4 linked regions of the Drosophila melanogaster genome follow. Changing the gene in region 3 together with the main gene of any one other region gives a genetic interaction. Each region holds a gene or a part of one and is shown on either strand. Other genes may lie near its edges.

Region 1 (4,695 bases), on a different chromosome or scaffold from region 3:
GTGTTGGGAATAAAGACACCGAGGCAATCACAATATGTTTTTCACTGTCTGATTGAAATTCTATAAATTACAATATACCGATGAGCTCTTTACTTCCATTTTTTCTCATTTTATTTTCTGCGGAAATCAAGGGGCGATGCTTATTAATCCATTGGATAAGTGCCAAATTCATTGGTTGTTTTTGCCCTCATTCCGATCACGAATCTGGCCATGGAAATTTTCTTTTGATTTGCCAGACGAATTCCAAGAATCCTCGATCATTAGTCAGGCAGGAACATTTCATGAAAATACCTTATAGTTATTAATGGCGCATGCAAATCACTATTAAATATGCAACAGCAACAATGCCCAGCCCTCAAATATTTGACTAATTCGCATTTTATTAATTTTACATCGTTGCTCATGGTTATTACATTTATATATGCAAATCGCCAACCGATTACCCTTGTTAATCATCTCTCCCAGACCCAAAGCCATATTTAAACAGTTGATAAATCACAAGTAAACACATGGGCTTAATTTTGTGTTGCATTGGCAGAGAATGAATAAATCAAAATAAAACCAAATGGAAAACCATAACAACCATGACGCAGCTCGAAGAATTGTCGCAATTGCCGCCGATGAAAGACCGTCCTGTTGACAGAAAGCCCCAAACAAACAGAGTGCGAGAAATCTCTCAATGAACATAAATATATATAGGTATCTGAGATGTATCTGGACCGAGAATAAGAGTGACTATCAGAATGAGACGTCACACCCCCACATAGCCAGCATTCTTGGAAGCTGCTACGTGTTCCGCCTGAGTACCCACCGTCTAGGGAACTGCATCTCGGTTATATCAGCGGACTTAAAATATGCACTGTGACGCATTCGTAGTGCCCTGAAGCGGGTTCATCGATTGACAGTGGTGTCTGGTGTATAAGTGCACAGGAAGAAAACGATTTAAATAAGTTTCAACATTGGCACAGACCACTATACTGATCACAATTGTAAAACCCTATTATATTAAATCTTATAATTTTGTAATATTATTATAATATTCTTAAGCCATCAGTAGTGCAACGTTAAGTATCCCCAACCGTTTCTCGCCGTGTAGATCTGTAGTGCGGTGGCGTTACCGGGTCGGGTATGCAGATTATGGCAACGTGCTGTAGGTGGAGCATGGAGTATGATATGAAGCATGACCGGAGCAACAGCACGTGTGTGCGCCACATGGTCAGAGGAAGAGGAAGTTGGATCTCTGGCGAGTTTACGACTGGGCATAGCTGAATTATTAGTTGATTTGCGGCCTGACAGATGCGCTATTCTCTGCCGTTTCGTGTGGCGATCTCTTTTTGGCCATGGCGCCAAGTAACTACAACTATGCATATTGTATGCTATTATATGGCCGAGAGCATAAACCAGGCCCCTGCACGCAATTAATAAAGCTGCCAAGGTAACAAAATAAACGCAAAGAAAAATGCAATCGACTCTCCTCCACTTTCCACTCATTTGGGGCGAATTTATGGCGCTTTTGATCGCCCGACTGCCGCAAGAAACACTCAAGTTATAAAGACACGAGTGGATTCGACTCAAACGATCGATCGATCCGATCTCTCACTTCCCGAACAACTTGAGTGAAGAAAACAGTCGAATCGGTTGACTTGACGATCCAGTGCAGAACCGCAAGCGCAGCGAGCTAGAACGCCACAAAATCGGCGACGGAAAAATCGCGACATCGTACGAGATATATAGTACCAAGTAGTATAAAGTGCTGACGAGTCGAATCGAGTGCGAGTGCGAGTGCGAGTGCCGGTGAAAATACATTCAATTGTTTTTCCCGATTTTTGTGCCCTCGGGTTCAAGTGTTTAAAAGCCTGAAGTGCTAGTTTTACACACAAAATAGGTTGCAGCTTAAAGGTAACAAACTAGGCTTATTTTGCTAATTTTTGGTAATTTAAGAATTGAGTACTTGAATGCTTAATTGTGTTAATTTATTTTAAAAATTTCCGCATTGCCAAGTGTTGTGTCAGAAGTTAAATAGCCGGAATAAAATGGTTTGCTTATTTTTCCGCAAACAGAATTTTCATATATGTTTGAAAGGCAAAAAAAAGTTTCAGCTCAAAGAGCAGATTCAAAATAGCTTTTGTGGAGTTTTTAGCTAGAAATATTTTAAAATTAATTTTCTCTTATCAATTGATTTTTAAACTTTTCTCTTCTTTGATGCATTTTCCCCTGAGGTGCAAATTTCCACCTCAAAAACAAGTTGCAACTCAAAAGCCAAAGTACACAGCCATGTTTGTTTTTATTTTATTTTAGTTTTAGTTTTAGAGTTGTTTGGCATTTAGAAGATTGAAATTGAAATTGAAGGTATGCAAAACGCGCGACACAGACGCGTTGTGTATTTTATTTTGGGGCTATTTAAAACGCGCAGTGGGAAATGTGCCGACGTGACACAGCGACACAGTTTTCCAACGAAACGCTCATTTCTATTTATTGGCGTTTATTTATAATTTGTTTTTATTTGCCTAGCTGTGCATCTGCCTTCCCTGATCTTTTGGAGCGCCCCGAGTTTTCTTCTGGCCTTTCGAATTGTCTTAATAGTTTTTATTGTCGCCAATTTGTAAACAAACTGCAGGCCATTAAGAAATATACAACTAGTTTGCTTGTGCAATCCAGTCTGATCGTAAAGCCCATTTGAATCTGTGATGTACAAGTAACAATTTTGTTGGATGTCAAGGAAAGCGAAACGGTTGTGTGCGCCAGAGGTATTTCCATATTACGCATACGTCATGTGTGTTTTGGCATTGGCCATTTAGTGTCTAAAAATAAAGAAAAACATTTAATGCTTCTCGACTCTCACAAAAAAAAAAAAAACACCAATAAAATGTACAAGCACATCACAAGGGAGGGGAGTAAAGACTTCTCCAGGGAAATGCATTTCAAGTGGGTTTTCCCCTTTCTTTTCCATTGAGTTTTCTTTTGACAACTCGCATTGTTTCGCATGGATATTCATAATTTCGTTTTCCTTCATTTGACTTTGGATTCACTGTTGGCTTTTCGTTTTGTTTGTGCGCCATTTAAATGAGCTTGTATTTCGTATTGGCTTTTCAGCTTTTCTGGGATATTATATACTACGTTGACTTTTATTTTCTTTTTTTTTGCCATCAGATAACACTTATTATCGAATGGAATTTAAATTTCTAAAGTCTGCTAATTTTTGAATTGAATGCATTGTTTGCTTTTCTTACGACACATATTGCCATATGGCACCTTAACATTATCTTAACCGCAATTGCTTATTGAGGGAGAGAAAATCCGGTTAGTAGGCTACACTGAAATAAAAAAAAAATGTGTCCTAAAGATACTAGAGTGTTTGTACTCATCATGGTCAGATAAATTACCTTGAATAATAAAACTAGAACCATTTAAAACGTATATTAAACATTTCACATGATAATAATCATTGTAAATTGATATGTTTCTTTATTATGAATATCAGGCCTATTTCAGCGACTCCGAGAACGACGATCAATATAATGTAATGTAAGATTACGCATTGTATCCAATTCGCAAACAATAAAAAACCACAAAAGCTGGGCAAATAAAATTGTCATAATCGATGATTGTGAATGTGGCTTTTCCCTCGCACATCATTCAATTTGCCATATTTGGCGAATGCTTTTAAATCCCCAAAAAAGTCCGAAAGCCATATACGGTTGGCGATACAGATACGAAAACATTGGATCTGGATTGTTTATGCCGACACACCCACATTCTGCTCATCCCATTGCCTTTAATAAATTTTCTTGTGCAAATCTTGCAATTAAATATTATTGTACAAATAAGACAGCGCGACAAAGAGACTTTGGTTTGGTATTTTGGTCTTTCGCCACCATTAATAATTTCTGCCTCCCCCATGAATGTGCGTAAATTTCACAGGTCTGGCAGCAATTTATCGACAATGAATTTGTTTTTTTGGGAACCCGGAGCTCCTCCATTTGTGTGTGGGCCATGGGCCGTCAATTTGTCAGCTTCCCTGCTGCGTTTCTGCTCCTTTTATCTCAATGTCCCTCAATGTCTTTAACAAGAGCTGTCAACCGGGTCTTAAATGGAGCCTTGTTGGGCTGAGATAAATCACCCAAGTTGACGAAAACCGATTCGGTATTGTCACAGAAAATCACTTGAATATTTAATTGAACTGCCAGCCGGGTTATTTGTGCAGAGTTTATTGATTTTTATGCAAATTCCAGCAATTTGATAACTAAATGCAAGACCACACAGTGCGCACCATTGTATTTCCGAGCCAGAACCCACATTATACATAATATTGTATTTTCCGGCATATGCATATGTTTACTTTGCGGTCTTATATATATGCACATGCTATATGGGTTTCGCTCATTAAAGATTTATATTTTTATGGTCCGGCCAATGCAATGTGAGTCCAGGCCCCAGACCTTCGGGTCTCCGATTTTGTAGGAACCCTTCCCCCCCCCCCCTTCACCTACCATCCTCTTCAGATACATTAGCATTTTTAATTGAATTTTCGTTACGCATCCTGGGTGAAATGTTTGTTGATTTTGCCACGCCGCCAGACAATTTGTGTTATAAGTTGAGAAATTTGTGGCGTTACTGTTTCGCTCTTTAATTTCGCGTCTCAAAATGAAATCCCCAAAAAAAAAACGTGACGAATTTGGGCTTGCATTTTCTGTT
Region 2 (6,722 bases), on a different chromosome or scaffold from region 3:
TGGGCGGCTTTTCAGCTGGTTACGATGCTGTCGCGATTGCCCTGTACCGCCAAGCTGTCTATATTCCACCCAACCCACCCAGAGAAAAGTCCAATAATAGTGGTGGTTGCTGCTTTGTTTTGTGCAGTGCCTCAGACAAAAAAGTGCCAATTGTTTTTGGGCCGAGAGTTATTGACACGCCTCGACGGTGAGCGCTTCACAGTTGGCCGCTTAAACAAGTGGGCGTGAAGGAATCCCATTAAGGACGATCGCCACCCTTCCGAAACGGCAGACAATCCTGGCCATCGTCATCCATTCATCCCCGCGGCGTGTCGGCAATTTAAACTAATAATCAACGCATCAGCAAACATTGTCGTTATATTCACAGAAGCCTGTGGCGTTTGGCGGTGACTCCTTACAGATTGCAAGCTATGATTTTCACTCACATGCAAACCAGGTCTCTATAGGGTTCTTCAATCCTAAAACTATTGTTACAATTTTGCCATAAATCCCAATGCCATGCTTTATTCAAGTACACTGTTTAAAAATCGTGGAATTTCACACTATTTTTAATTCGATTTCTGCTCTTTCATTTATCACATTAAAGTATAGTTTTACAATCATATATTACATAAAAGTGGACATGTTCTCGATGCCTTAACAAATCTAATGTACTTTAGATCTAATAAGCCATTTGTTTGGGTTCCAGAAATTGATAACAAAGATTGTGAAATCCTTAAATTAGGTATGAATAAAACCATTTAAAATGTGTTTTAAGCTGATTCAAAGCTGATTAATTCAAAGATTTATCGAAAGAATTGAGTTATTCATATAACAACATATCAATAAAAATATTAAGTGCAGTTTAAGTAATATGTACGAATTCAAATGATGTTGTGAATTTTAATAAAATGTCAAAAAATATATATAAAATATATATATATAAATTATAAGAGACTACTAAGTGTTATTTCTTAGCTAAGATTTTTTAAAATTTCTTTGATTTAAAATGTCTATTGCTTTTCGAGGCCGGACTTAACTTCATTATTTGTCAAAAAATGTCAGTAAATTGAGATTTTGAATGTAGTTTTAAAATTAATCATCTAAAATAGTGAAGCAGCACTAAATCAGAACCAAAAACATAATTATAGTAGCAACTAAAGACGTGCATTAATATTCGTCTAACACTAGGCTCTAACATTAGGACTTTTAACTTTTGGAGAGGAATGGTAAAGTTTACCATCCAAATTCCCTCTGTGGTGCTCATCCTAGACCACGTGTTCCGCGGATGAGGAGGTGCCGGCGCCGAAGCGCAATGGAGTCGGTCAAATGATGTTTGGCGGACTGGCCGCGCTGGCCACTACCGCATTTGGTGAGGACTTCTCTGACTTGACGCATCCGTAGGATGAGATGCCGGTACCGCTGCTGCTGGGCGGGGAGGGTGGAGTTTCCGGACTTATCAGCGGCAGATATCGCCACGGGTGGTAGATGGAGCCGGCGTACATCGCCTGGAGGCGCGCCTGTAGGTCCAGGGCCAACGTGGGATCCAGTGGATAGTGGGCGAGGCCGGGAAAGGCATTCGGCAGGCGGGGCAGCGATAACTCCAGTGGCGAACCAAAACCGTACTTGGCGCTCAAGGTGGCGGCGGCCAGCTGGACATGATGTGGATGAGGATGCGGGTGGTGTGGATGCGATTGATATGGTGACTGGTGCGGATGTCCGTGGAGATGTGGCAGCGACTGACCCAAGGGCGACAACTGGGGCTGCATATCCTTGGGGGAGCCAACTGATCCTGGGCCACTGGGACCGGAGTTACCCGCACCACCAGCGTTGACACCACCGTTGGCACCACCTCCACCGCCGCCACCACCACCACCTGGCACCGGTGACTTGTTGAGCGTCTTGGGCTTGCGACGTGGTCGATACTTGTAGTCGGGATGTTCTTTCATGTGCAGAGCCCTGTAAATTAAATAAATGTTGAAACACTGATCAAAAGATCGAACGATTTAAGCTTTGATGATATCATAAAGTCAGCCATCTCTGGTCGTAAACCCCAAGAGAAGCGGAACCCTTCCATAAACCCCACGCCAGGCAGATACAAAATGCACAAGTTTATATTGTGTATTTAGCGAAGAACCAGCACTCCGATTCCAACTTCGATTCTCTTTCCGATTTCCCAGCTGCAACAATGCGCAATTGTTGACATTTGTTTGACATAACGATAAAACCTGATAAAAGGTGTGTTTGGGTCGCCTCCTCTTGTTTTACTTTCGCTTTTCTTTATTTTGTTTTCCTTTCTTTGGTCAGTTATGGCCTCCTTATCGCGGGTCCCGAAAAAAAATATTGTTTTCCTTATCATCGCGCATTGGCAAATATTTGATCAGAATTTTTGGTTCTTTTCATTCGATATGCTCGCTCGAAAACCCCGAATGGCCATTAGTTTAAGCCCCTTCTGACGAGCCCTGATCATTTATAAATGTCATAAAATGTAAGTAAAATTTAACATTTCCATTTTGGCAGGCCAATCCAATCAATAAAAGGATTATGACAGTGCAAACACAGAGGTTCGTCATCATAAAAGACCGCACTATCTAGGAAGGCATAGAAAAAACGAACTTGTGAGATACGGCATTTCTGGGAATTCCTGTGGTTTAAAAGTGCACTGCAAATTTTGATTCCATTTATACCAATACAACTTATTTAAAAGCTAGTTTTATAAAAAATAAAATAATGTGAGATATCACTTTTGTACTTATTTGTAAAATGCTCGCTTTTGAGTATATTTCTTGTACAAAGAACTCCATTCTAGCGGTATTTTCAGTTAATCCCGATAATTACGTTTATTAAAACTAAGCTCAAACTGAAATTACTCAAACCCTTTCGAAAGGGTACACTGAATGGGTTAAGCACACAAAAAGAAGCAAAATGCAAAATGAATGGAGCATTTCATGCGACGTGTTGCCTCGCTTTTGTGTGACAACTTCAATTGAAATGTTTACCCAAGATATGGCAGTGCCAATGAAATTCTGACTAAGCAGAGCGGACACAATCCCCGACTCCAGAGCTCCGCAATTCAGCAGGAGCTCCTCACAATAGGTAGCCTTTGTCTTAGCTAATCGATCAAATTTTGTGGCCAGACGGCATCTAGTGAGAATGAGCTACCAACTGGGAAAATGGTAACCGAAACCAAGCCAGAATTTCCCATCCAACCTACACCACTCTGCTCCTGCATAAGCCGGCACAGAAAAAAAATGTATATCGTGTGGACTGAATAAAATTGAATAAACAAAGTAATTCTTATATCCAAGAATAGAAAGCGGAGGTAACTACAAAAAATACAAGAACTATGTTTTTCCTAGTTTAAATTAATATAGGATTACTGCAATATGATAATCTGTGATTTTTAACATCAATGGGATCCATATCTTTTTATTTTTTTTAAATATAACTTCGCCCTAATAAACCCTATTAATAATAGACTTGGAAAATTAACTTTTGAATTGAAAGGTAAGGACTTTTCCAGGTAAGAAAATACTCTTATTTCTGTTTACAAATTTAGTACATACATATTTTCTCAGTGCTTTTTAACCAGACCCCAGTGAACAATACTTACCGCAATCGTTTTGCCTCGTCGATGAATGGACGCTTCTGTCCTTCGGTGAGTAATTTCCACTCGGCGCCCAGGCGTTTTGATATTTCAGAATTGTGCATTTTTGGATTGTCCTGGGCCATTTTGCGACGCTGCCCCCGCGACCAGACCATGAAAGCGTTCATTGGTCGCTTAATGTGGTCGTGGCTGTTGTGATGGCTTCCAGTATTCGAATTCGAGTGGCTGGTCGGGGCATTATGGTGGGAGTTGCCATGGTGGTGCGTGTGCTGGTGCATTTTGGGTGCCACCGGAGTGGGGGCCGCTGGCGGAACGGCGAGGTCAGCTGGCGGCATCGGTGGTGGGGTGGTGTTTCCCGATCCAGAGCCTACTCCCACACTCATACCCATGCCCAAGCCACCGACCATGCCCAAACCCAAATTGATGCCGGGCAACTGCGGTGAGAGACTGCTGCTATGGCTGTGATTGCTACTCCCGCTGCTCGTGTAACCATTGCTGTGGCTGTGGCTCCGATGGAGCAGGGCCGAGATGCTCGTCATGATGCCGGGCGCGGAGTCAAGGGACTCCAATGGGGGTGCAGGTGGTAATTATCAGGTGGTAGTGCTGCAGCTGCTCCTCGAGCTCTGAAATGCCAACGGAAATGGTATTCAATAGATATGCCTTGTTAGCTTGGGGACTCTGTCTGCTGCTCCCTGCATGAGTCATTTGATTGGAGCTCTTCGCACTGCGAATAGCTTACCAAAAATATGCACAATGGAACTCCATTTACCCCTTCTAATGTGTGTGTACAGGGGGCTCAAAATGGTGTCCCGGTTTTATGACAAACCAATTTAAATATTTACCAGTAATTCAAATCAGTTTTCAGTATTGAGTATTTGCAAAATTGGGGATTTCCCTTAAATTAATATTATCCAAAATATATTCCTTGAAGAACGTATATTTGCATATTAACAGTACTGCCAAATTCGATTTCAAATGATGAATTAATTAAAGATTGGATTGGAAAATGATATATTTTTTAAAACAGGCTTTTCTAACATTGAAAATTGCAAATATTCATAAAATTCATTATATATTTCATATCCTTATAAATCTTTTGGTTTCTTTTTTAAGAAAATATATTTGTTCGCTTATTTCGCTTTTTTAAAGTGTTTAGTTTTTGGGGAGGAGTGTGCAATAGTTTAATTTAGAGCACAGCTTTTTCTTCATTTCATATTTAAATATTCGAATTGTTTACCTAGGGACCTTTTCTCATCATCATAATTAGCTTACCTGTATTAATTGTCTTTTAATTTCTCCCTAATAAAGTTTAAATTTGGATTCCATCCGATGCGTGACACTTAACTATCTAATTAATTGCACAAGAGTTTACGTTGCGATCGAGTTCTTTTTGTTTATTAATATTACTAGGTTAATTATTGTTGATCGCCATTAGAACTCCTAAAAATACACAAGTGCACTGATATGAATTTTTAACTTATTTTCCAAACAGTTCGAGATTTATAGAGCCTCGAATTTACGAACGTTGAAAGTATTTAAACCGTTAGACTGCCGATTCACCGTTAGCCGAGCGCAGCGCGTCCGTTTCGAGTGCGCGACAATTTAGATTTGAAAACACATTCGAAAACTTGCGACAAAAACGGCAAACAAACGCAACAAAAAGGGGCAAGAGGAAGAACGTGGGTGTTTGTAAGTATGAGGGTGTCTCTGTAGTGGTTGGTCGCTGCTGCGTCGCTGCCGCCCAAAAGGACCGAGTGGGAGCGAGACAAGGCGAGAGATAGTGCAAGGGAGAAGGGTCGCGCAAGTAAGAGAGAGAGAGAGAGAGAGAGAGCGCGCACATTTTGTAGAGTTTTTTACACCTTCGGAGGACGCGTCAACGTGGCGGCTAAGTGATAAAAATTCGCTGCTGCTGCTTTGTATCTTTGTATCTGCGTTTTGTATCTTATTGACAATAGTCTCCGGGTTTGTTTTCGTTTTGTGTGCACGTTTGCATTCTTGTTTACCAAACATTGCTCCTTTTGCTCTTCGCCAGTTGATGATATCTGCATTTTTTATCAAAACCGTAACACAAAAATAATTTTGAAAATTTGAATAGCCCAATAACATATTTCATATTAAGCTACCAATATCAATTTTTATTGTAAATATAAATAGTTTTCTTTGAAAAATTCAAGAAAATTCCGGCTAGTTCTGAGAATTTCGCTGCTATATTTATTTACAAAATATTAAATCATAAATTGGTACGTTTATAAAACACTTTATTATTCAGTTCTGTTTTTCTTCTATGCATTTGTGATCCAAATAAAAGGCATAGTTAAACTACTTTATAGCTCTTCTTAACTATGGAATGAGAACCCATTTTTAAGATGTCAAAAAAATGCCTTGATTAGTTTATTTAAATGGAATACAAAACGGAGTGGCAACAATCAATCGAATGAAAAATACACTTTAGCTTTTGAATCTTATACTACAATTAACCAAATATTGGATACTTACTTATATGCATGGTCTACACTATATGGTTATGGCACTATAATTTCTTACTGTGTATTAGACCGGTGTTTGCTCTCACAATCGATCGGTGGCTTATTTGGTATGTTTGCTGCAAGCTTCGGTATCCGCAAGATTGGCCCTTTTTGTTGGCAGGGTTGGGCCGCTTATTTCAATTGCTCTCCTTGTTTGTCACACACAGGAAATTCTCAATTCTTGTTGTTGCTGTACCAATAACGATTTCTGTATAATTGCAACGATTAGAAGCCCTTGATCCCTTAATAGTACCACCTTTATACATTTGCTAAAATTTCTTATAAATGCCGCTCTTTATAATTGACGGTTTCAATGTTCCGCCAACGGAGCTTCTCCCTTGACGAATACTAAGAAATTAGACAATTTTCCCGGTGTTTACAGTGTAATGTCAATAGAAAAGTGTGTAATATGCTAGGTATAGTACATCCGGAACAATAATTTCCCGATCACAATTAATTTTAATTAAATATGCTTTTGCAATAATATTTAACGATTATTGGGACTATTAGCAACATTTCCACAGTATATACTAAATCTTCAAATTAATTTGACCTAGAAAGTAACAAAAACAACATTTTAAAGATAAATGAATCGTCGCAGTGCTTTTTAT
Region 3 (4,680 bases):
TTGAGTACGGCCCGAGGGCGATAAGATATGGTGGCGATCGGCGGGAGTTATGTTGGGAGCTACCAAATGCATAGTTCGGGCATGAGTGGCCAAGTGTTACTAGAACTTGACCTTAGTGATAGCCACATATCACACGCCGGGTTGGGCAAGCAGTGTCGAAACAGCCCAATCCGCAGTGCTGTTCAAGTTCACCTCCAAAGCGGAGTGCTCAATGGGTTAGGTCTGATTAATGGGCTCGGACCCGCTTCTGGTTGACCTTTCAATTAGCTGGGCTGCCAGTGGGATGCAATTGCAGATCAATGAACTATCGCTGCTGCCTTTGTTGCTGCATGTCGCTTGCAACACTTACGATTAATTAATTAATTAATTAGCTCTCGGCACATACATTTCTTTCTCTTGTTTGTTGTCGCTGTCGTCGCTGCGTATTCCGCTGTGGATGTGTTGTCGTTGCTTATAATTTATACTTTATAATTCACAGTCGCAATCCTTTTGTTTTGCTGTATTTTCGAGCTGTGAGTGTGTCTTTATGTCTGGCTGCACTAATTGCTCGCTGGCACTTCCATTTTCCCGCTCGTTTCCGCGTTAGAAACCAAAACTCAAAACCAAAAAACCAAAACCCAAAACTGAACTCATTCACTTTTCGAATAACTTTCTTCGCGACTATTTATATAGCACTAGACTCCAACTGCGATTCTTATTCTATCGTGGTGACTTTTTCGGTTTCTCGCCGCTAAACACATCCGCCCTGGGCTGCGCGCAAAATTCAACTGATCTTCAGAGCTCGCTGCCGCACGACGACGACTGGCGATCGTGAGTGGAGCTTTCGAAGAGGGAAGCCGAAAGCTTTTGCGACTAACAGAGGCGCTGGCGATGCTTGCTTGTGGAGATGGAGATGGAGATTTCGTAGCGGGGGACAGCCGAAACCTGTTGCCAATAATCGAAGTTGTTCCTTCCGCGCCCCGCACCCCTTTCCGCTGGAGAGGAGGCGTATGAGTAATGCGCTTCTTGGAATCACCCGCACATGTGTCATACGCCGCTGGTCCAGCAAACAGCAACCGCTGCGGCCACCGAAACACTCGCCCTCGGTGGCACTTTACAGCTTATCCGAAGCTTAGCACATTACTCTCCCCGCTTCCCTTAGGCAAACGCTTACAACTCAGCGGATCTGGTTTCTTGAAATTCACATACGAATTCGAGTGAACTTCCGATCTGCCACACCTCGCCGCTAACCGAAAAGATTTTATGAATGAATCTGCGGTCTGGATTCCCCTGGTCAAACGGTTTCTCAATGGGCGTATGAGTAATGCGTAATTTCATGAGTGATAATCGGAAAGTGTATGTTTCACCGAAAATAAGAATATAGAAGTGTAAAAAGATAGGATAAGTGCCTATTACTAGCTGTGCTTGATAACGGTGCATCTACGCCTATTTGCCTTCATAAATCGTGTAGATTAACACATTCGCCTTTACAGCAGCCTGATTAGCACCTCATCTCTCGCGGACCCGTGCTAATAAGCTATTCATCTGGGTATCTTCTTCTGCGAATCGATAATATATTCGCCCTACGTCGGCACCACCCCATTAATATCAATTGAGTGCAATTTGGGGTGACTCAGCGGCCACGTGAATCAAATTGCCACCTAGCGCAAACAAATCCAGTAATCGGCCTGAGCAATTGGCTAGCAGCCCAAGCCCAAGCCAAAGGTTCAGCTGGGATGTAGCTGGAGAACGAAAAGCGAATCCGACAGCCACATAATGGGCGACATTCTGCTTTCACGACAGTTCCTGATGCGCTTTATGGAGCTGGCACATCCAACGCGACAGAACAGAACTTGGCAGAACAAAGCGGGGGCTGTGAGACAAATCGGATGCTGTTGCTGCCATTTATCCATGGACCAAGTGCATCTGGCTTGCTGTCAGCCCCTCTTTGCTTGCCCATCTGCTCTGGGCTGTGGGCCATGGGCCATGGGCTTGGGATCTGGTCTCTGGGCTCAGGGCTCCGTGGTCTCTTTCCATATATACACGAATGTATTCCTCTGTTATGGCAGTGGACAAGTTGACTTGTCGTCGCCGCCTGCTGTGCGATGCATTTTGCCCTGCTCCTCTGCCATCGGCACAATGAAATATTTATGAGTTTCTACTGCCTTTAAAGACAACTATTTATAGTATTTTTAGTCCATGCCCCATCCCGATGCGATGCAGTGCGCTGGCACTAAGGTTGGTTGCCTGCGCCGGCAGTGAAATTAACTTTTCCACGCCGCTTCGAATCAAGCGATTTCGCATTGACTTTTGCCTTTGAACTGTGCCAACTGGCCGAGCAGAACATATAATTGTCATACAGATGGAGCAGATAATGCTAATTGCATATGAATATAGTATTGTATATTATTTGAATAGAGTGCGCGGCTCTGACTTTGAGTGCGAAAAACTATTTCTAAACTCAATCACGTCACGGTCAGGCATCGATAGTATGTATGAAGTATCTGATGTGCCTATAATTATATGTATTCATGTATCGGAATGTTACAAAGCTCCTATGTGCCGACTGTTTGGGCAGCCTCTGTGATCCGCCCGCAATGTCAAATGCGAAGTCCGAGCAAAGATCGCTCTTGGCCCATTGATGCCCGTCGAGAAAGTGGAATTCCCTGGCGGACATGAGTCATCCTGGTATATCAACTTACCATACGGCAGACAGACGAATTGAGCAAACAGAATTTGCATAAACCAATTTGTGAAATAATCAGCTCGGTGCCCGTGCTCCTTCAGCAAATATTGCACAAAGCGACTTTTGTTTTCTTTAGTTTCTTCACAGGGCTGTTTCGAACTTATCGGGCTTATCTGCGACCGATGGCGATTAGATCTTGGTGGTTAGATAAGGCGGGCAAAGTCACTATATAGTCACTATCACTTGGGCGAATTTGGCTACGGCAGGGCACTATCCACACTCTACACTCATGTCCAGGGGGCTAGCACAGCTCCCAGTTTCCAAGCTAAGACTACTTGTTCCGCGAGAAGCGATAGCGACCGATTCACAGCGGGTTCCGATTGCTACTCGTTTGGCTTTTCTGTTGCTGTTTCAGTTCCAGCTCTCTGCCATTCCGCCTTCAGCAAAATAATGTTCGCGTCGTCGTCTTCGCCACCCCTACTTTTGTATTTCCATGGGGCTTGCGAGTGTGTGCGGGTCTAATGGCTAAGACCTGGGTCTGTCCGTGTTCGCTTCTAGTTTACGAGTCACGCGAATAACCACCGACACACCACCGCTCACACACACAGTCGTCCATAGGTGGAATCCTAGTTCTGGTGGTTGAAAATAGCTGGTCGCCCCCTGTTCCTTCGTCCCTTGCATGTGATTGTGGAGCAACAGGATTAGGAAGGAACTAGCTCTCTGTTGGCTTTAACTAGCCAGACTAGCAGACTGTGTACTACCCATGGCGATCGATTGGATATTATTTAACATAATATAACATTCCCTTAATGAAACCCTATTTGATATTGCGTGCATTTTTAAAAAACCAGCACTTATTTCTGGCGAGCAACATGGGGCTGGGGTAAAGCTCGTTCGGCTAGGACTCACCTTCACTGTTAACGCACTGTAAGCCAGAAGTTAGCAAGCTTTTGGCTAGCTGTTAGATCCACTGATGATTCACCTGAGGGCGCAGCTTTCTCTCGCTCTCAGTCTAAATTGGGTTTTTCACTCTGGGTGGAAAGCTTTTCACGCAGCGGAAGCACAAACTAATTTGTTTAACACTCGCTAATTTGCTTAGCTATACTATATCTTATGGAGATTTGCCTTCCGCAGCAAGCTGCCGTAACTGCAAGTTCGAGTGCGTTTTTGAGGCTCGCTAGTGCGCTAGACTGAGACTCGGGACGCTCCGCTTAGATTCTTTTATATGGCCGGGAGCAAGGCGATCCGATAGCGTTCCGTTCCGAGATCCGAAACGCCAGTCATTCAGCTCGGCTTGATGCCCGCGTCCTTCCCTGTCAGCACCCCTTTCGCAGTGCTAGGGGAGCTTCCTCGTTTCGTTTCGATAACGGGATAGTTACGCATCAATCCCGGCTTCTTGAGCGGATGAGTCATGTCAGACCGATCCTGAGAGTTCCGAGCATTGGTGCACGTGGCACCAATGTGGCATAGGTTATTGAGTCGCCTTCCACCGATTTTTCGGCTGCAGAACAGGCTGATTCATTTCGATTCACTCTGCTTCGACTTCGGTCGCTGTGATGCTAAATTTCGCTTTATATTGTTCTTATATTTTGATTTATACGCAATCAAACGTGCTGGAATGCCGTCCTCTTGGCTTCTTCCTCAAACGGCCACCTCCTCACCGACTCCCCACCAGGAGATTCGCGGGGAGAAGTGAGGGTGATGTCTTCTTTTGTATTGCAATTAAATATTTTGATATGGCTGTCGCACAGGCGAATAAACTAAGGATTTTAGATACAAAAGAGCAATTCAAATCGAGCAGGAAGTCTGAGTGATTGTTTGATTAACCGCACTGATTGATGGGGCCACTCCTTTTGGGTATCTCAAAAGAAATCCTTCTACTGGTGTCTTTGTTTGATTGCTTACATTGCTAACAAGCAAAAAGACAATCATCGATTTTACTTGAGTATTCTTAGTATTTTAACATATTTTAATTTACTTTTAAAGAGAAGAGATACAACTCCTCTGCTCCCGGG
Region 4 (3,435 bases), on a different chromosome or scaffold from region 3:
CAAAGCTTTCTGGTTTAGAAGTTTTGTGGTTTTCTTTGCTTGCTAGCTGAAATTTCACGACGGTCAACAAAGGAGTGCGCTCCAAAATGTAGCTAGTAATTTTCATTTAATTCTCAGTGTGGGTTTCTTTGGCTGCAACAGTGGCAGGACCAAATTGCCACCGACTTGACCCTCAAAAGGGCACCCATTAAATGTCGCGACTGGTCGCGGTCATGAAGCGCCAGAAATTGGCTCTGTGCGGCGGTAATTAGCCCAGACCAGTTGGCCCTGATCGCGTGTATGGTGGTAGTACTTTAGGACGGGTCAACACTGGTCGTCGGTGACGTGCCATAAACCGCTGGCAACGAATCCGGTGTCAGAGGGCATGCACTTAAATTTACAACCCCTTTTAAACCCAAACCCTCCAATGCCAATGCGCTTTTAGTTTTAATTGCTGCTCAGGCTCTGGCCGATAGTGGCTACAAGGCGCTGAAATGACTTCCTGCATTAATCTCGACAGCAACAATATATCGGGCATACATTAAGTTAAGTTTATATTTTATACGGTAGCACTTAAAGGAGAATGTGTGAGCTAATTCGTAAATAAGAATGTGGTCTTGCAGGTTTCCTACTTGACCTTGTTCACAGGCAGGTACGTGGCACTAGGCGCTGCGGCTGGTGGTGGAATATATCCTGCCGAAGGAGCCTCCAGTTCGGCGCTTACACTTCCGCTGGAAGGCCGACGCTCATCAATCAGCTGCACCTGCTGCTGTTGCTGTTGCTGCTGCTGCTCTTGCTGTTGCTGCACTTTGGTGGCAAAGTCCAGGACTGGTGCCACGCCTCCGTTGTAGGAGGTGCTGGCTCCACCCAGACGCTCGTACTCCTGCTGAATGGTACGCTGGGCATTGATGGCGTCCTGCTGGGTGCGGTACTTGACGAAATGCACCTCCGGCTTGCTGGCGCTCACATGGTTCAGGTTCTGCAGCTGGTTGGCCAGGCTGGACAGATCACCCTGTTTGGTCAGGACATAGATGGCGGTCTGCTGCTCGGCAGCCTGCTTGGCCAAGGCCAGAGCGGCGTTCTCCAGACCCTTATTCTCGGGGGCCCTGATGAAAACCACACGGAGGTTCTTCTTCAGAGTAGCAGCCAGATCACTGACACTCTTATTATCCTCAAAATCGGCCTCGGGAGCGGAGTAGGTGAAGAACTCCTTGTTAAATTCGGTGTTTACAGGAGCGTAGTTAGTGGAATAAGATCCCCCGGACAGGGAACCACTAGAAAGGGAACCACCAGAAATGGAGCCACCTGAGATGGAGCCACCTGAGATGGAGCCACCTGAGATCGAGCCTCCAGAGATGGAGCCTCCAGACAGAGAGCCTCCCGAGATGGATCCGCCTGATCCAATGCCAGCTCCATAGTTATAGCCGCCTACATCAGCGCGAGCCACAGCCAAGACAGCAAAAATCTGGCAAAGAAAGCTCAGGTTAATCCAACTATTTCAAACTAATAATACCATTTAAACTTACAATAAATCCACGCATATTGATAGCCCTATCCTAGCCAATATTCGATCCAATCTGTTAACGTGTTGGGCACGCCGGGAGGTGTAAACTGTTAATGCTACAGCCCATCTTGTCGAGGGGCGTTTTTATAGCCCGACCCTAATCAGGTCCAATATAAGATGCAGATTTTCGTGATGAGACAGCGGGTGTAGCCCATGCCATTGATGCTAATCCAGCACAAATACCAATACCCGTTGCAGGTGACGCAAAGCCCTCAAAACTGTATCCGCCAGCATTTGTTTGCATAAATTCGAAAACGGTTTGCCAATTTCGTTGGCAATGAAATGCAAAAACAAACCACGACGGAACTGGATGTTGGTAGGCCAAACCAGAAATTATGGCCACTTAAGTGGAGCAATGCCATGCGATTTGCATAGCTGGTCGTATTTAATTAATTGCAGTACAGCCATATAGCTGGCGAAAAAAGGAAGAAAATAAATCAATTACAGTGTCCACAGAATTCTGCGAATGATTGGTCAAATTCAATATTAATTAATTCAGTCAATATATCTTTCCGGCAATTGCAAATTGGTAAACCGTGGCAGTGAATACTGGCTATGATGGATCACAAATCAATCGCTAATCGAGCTGCGACTCTCTGCCGACTGTCCACCGTATCTAGTTTATGATACATAATTTCGATTTCGTAAACACACTGACTAGCAACAAAAAACAAAAGGGGCGCAGACAAAAAACCTATTTATGCAAATTAACCCCATATCGCTTGTGGCATTTTTGTGTGGTTTAGGGATTTGTTTTATTGTGTTTTCAATTTGCATATTACTGGGCATTTATGATGGCATTCATAGTGGAATTTGATATGCTTGATTCATTCATCGATTGCCCAATTGAACTTAAGGTTAGAGCCATTCGTTGCATACTTATAGGGCTGCCAGCAGTGGCTGTCAAACTGTTACGCCGGTAATGAACTTAGCCCCAATGTCTGTTGGCCCTGTGGCGCTTGCCATCGAAATGCAATCAAGCTAATTACGGAAATATGCATTTTTCAAGCCAAACATGAACATGCAACTCCGTGATTGACGATAAATGCCCAATTAAGCCAATTACGAGCGGTTGGTAGCTGGCAGTCGCGTGCAACATGTGTGGCAGCCACAGGCTACCAACTGCTTTTGTAATAATTTGATTTAAACTAAATTTATCAAATTGTTTTTCCTAATTGAGTGGATTTAATGATGAGCGATCGTCTGTCGCTCCCTTAATGAACAATTTTCCGTTTGATTTGACCTCTAATTAGTTGGCCAGCTGAGGTGGAAATATTTGTTTGGCAGCAGGACACGCATGCAATTAATATAAATAGTTCCAGGGGCACTTAATGAAGTTTTCGCATTTGCATTGAAATGCAAAACAACTCGTTCCCTGTCGCTCTCACTGGCATTTGGCCCTGTTTTTTGGCCTGAAAGTAAGGAATCGCCGGATCCGGCGGAATGGAATGGGCCTGCTGCCACTTTATAGTGCATAAATTATTCAATGAACCGCATGCCAGGATGAGTCGGCGGCGACAAAAGAAGCTCCGCTGTCAGTTATAATTTCACACGCATAACAGTTGCCGTTGTCAGTTGTGGTGGTGGTGGTAGGAAAGGTAGCTAACGGTGCCAATGGAGTTTCCTGTCGACATACACTGCACAAATTATTTTAATTTGGCTAAAAGCGCAAGCAACAGCTTATGGGAGAAAGCTATAATCTTGTTGGCGAAATTGCTAAAAAAAAACGTCTTCATTGTCTGTATTTTGATTGGCATTGAGAAAACTGTGCGAACTTTTTTGTCAGTGTTCTGTTGCTGGCTAACCCAGTTTTAAACTTGTTTTTTTTCCAGCGCTCTTTTGTGCGCGCGCGCATTTAAGCCGTAAGTTAGACACTTGTTAGGTCGACATCG

The links.
Region 1: of Mmp1 (region 3) and Timp, changing one suppresses a phenotype caused by changing the other (phenotypic suppression), as found in Drosophila melanogaster (one study listed by BioGRID).
Region 2: of Mmp1 (region 3) and Sox21a, changing one suppresses a phenotype caused by changing the other (phenotypic suppression), as found in Drosophila melanogaster (one study listed by BioGRID).
Region 4: of Mmp1 (region 3) and Tb, changing one suppresses a phenotype caused by changing the other (phenotypic suppression), as found in Drosophila melanogaster (one study listed by BioGRID).

Annotation. Positions count from the first base shown.
Region 1 is NT_033777.3:10,209,963-10,214,657, reverse strand, and holds the start of Timp (tissue inhibitor of metalloproteases), read left to right. Parts: upstream 1-1,650; 5' UTR 1,651-1,899; intron 1,900-4,695. UniProt on the Drosophila melanogaster protein: Metalloproteinase inhibitor that acts on both matrix metalloproteinases Mmp1 and Mmp2 in vitro. Complexes with metalloproteinases and irreversibly inactivates them by binding to their catalytic zinc cofactor.
Region 2 is NT_037436.4:14,102,950-14,109,671, forward strand, and holds Sox21a (Sox21a), read right to left. Parts: upstream 5,170-6,722; 5' UTR 4,859-5,169; intron 4,210-4,858; 5' UTR 4,126-4,209; coding exon 3,593-4,125; intron 1,939-3,592; coding exon 1,305-1,938; coding exon of another isoform or gene 1,248-1,304; 3' UTR 532-1,247; downstream 1-531.
Region 3 is NT_033778.4:24,684,322-24,689,001, forward strand, and holds the start of Mmp1 (matrix metalloproteinase 1), read right to left. Parts: upstream 3,057-4,680; 5' UTR 2,682-3,056; intron 770-2,681; exon of another isoform or gene 386-769; intron 1-385.
Region 4 is NT_033777.3:26,654,614-26,658,048, reverse strand, and holds Tb (tubby), read right to left. Parts: upstream 1,610-3,435; 5' UTR 1,521-1,609; coding exon 1,506-1,520; intron 1,445-1,505; coding exon 608-1,444; 3' UTR 518-607; downstream 1-517.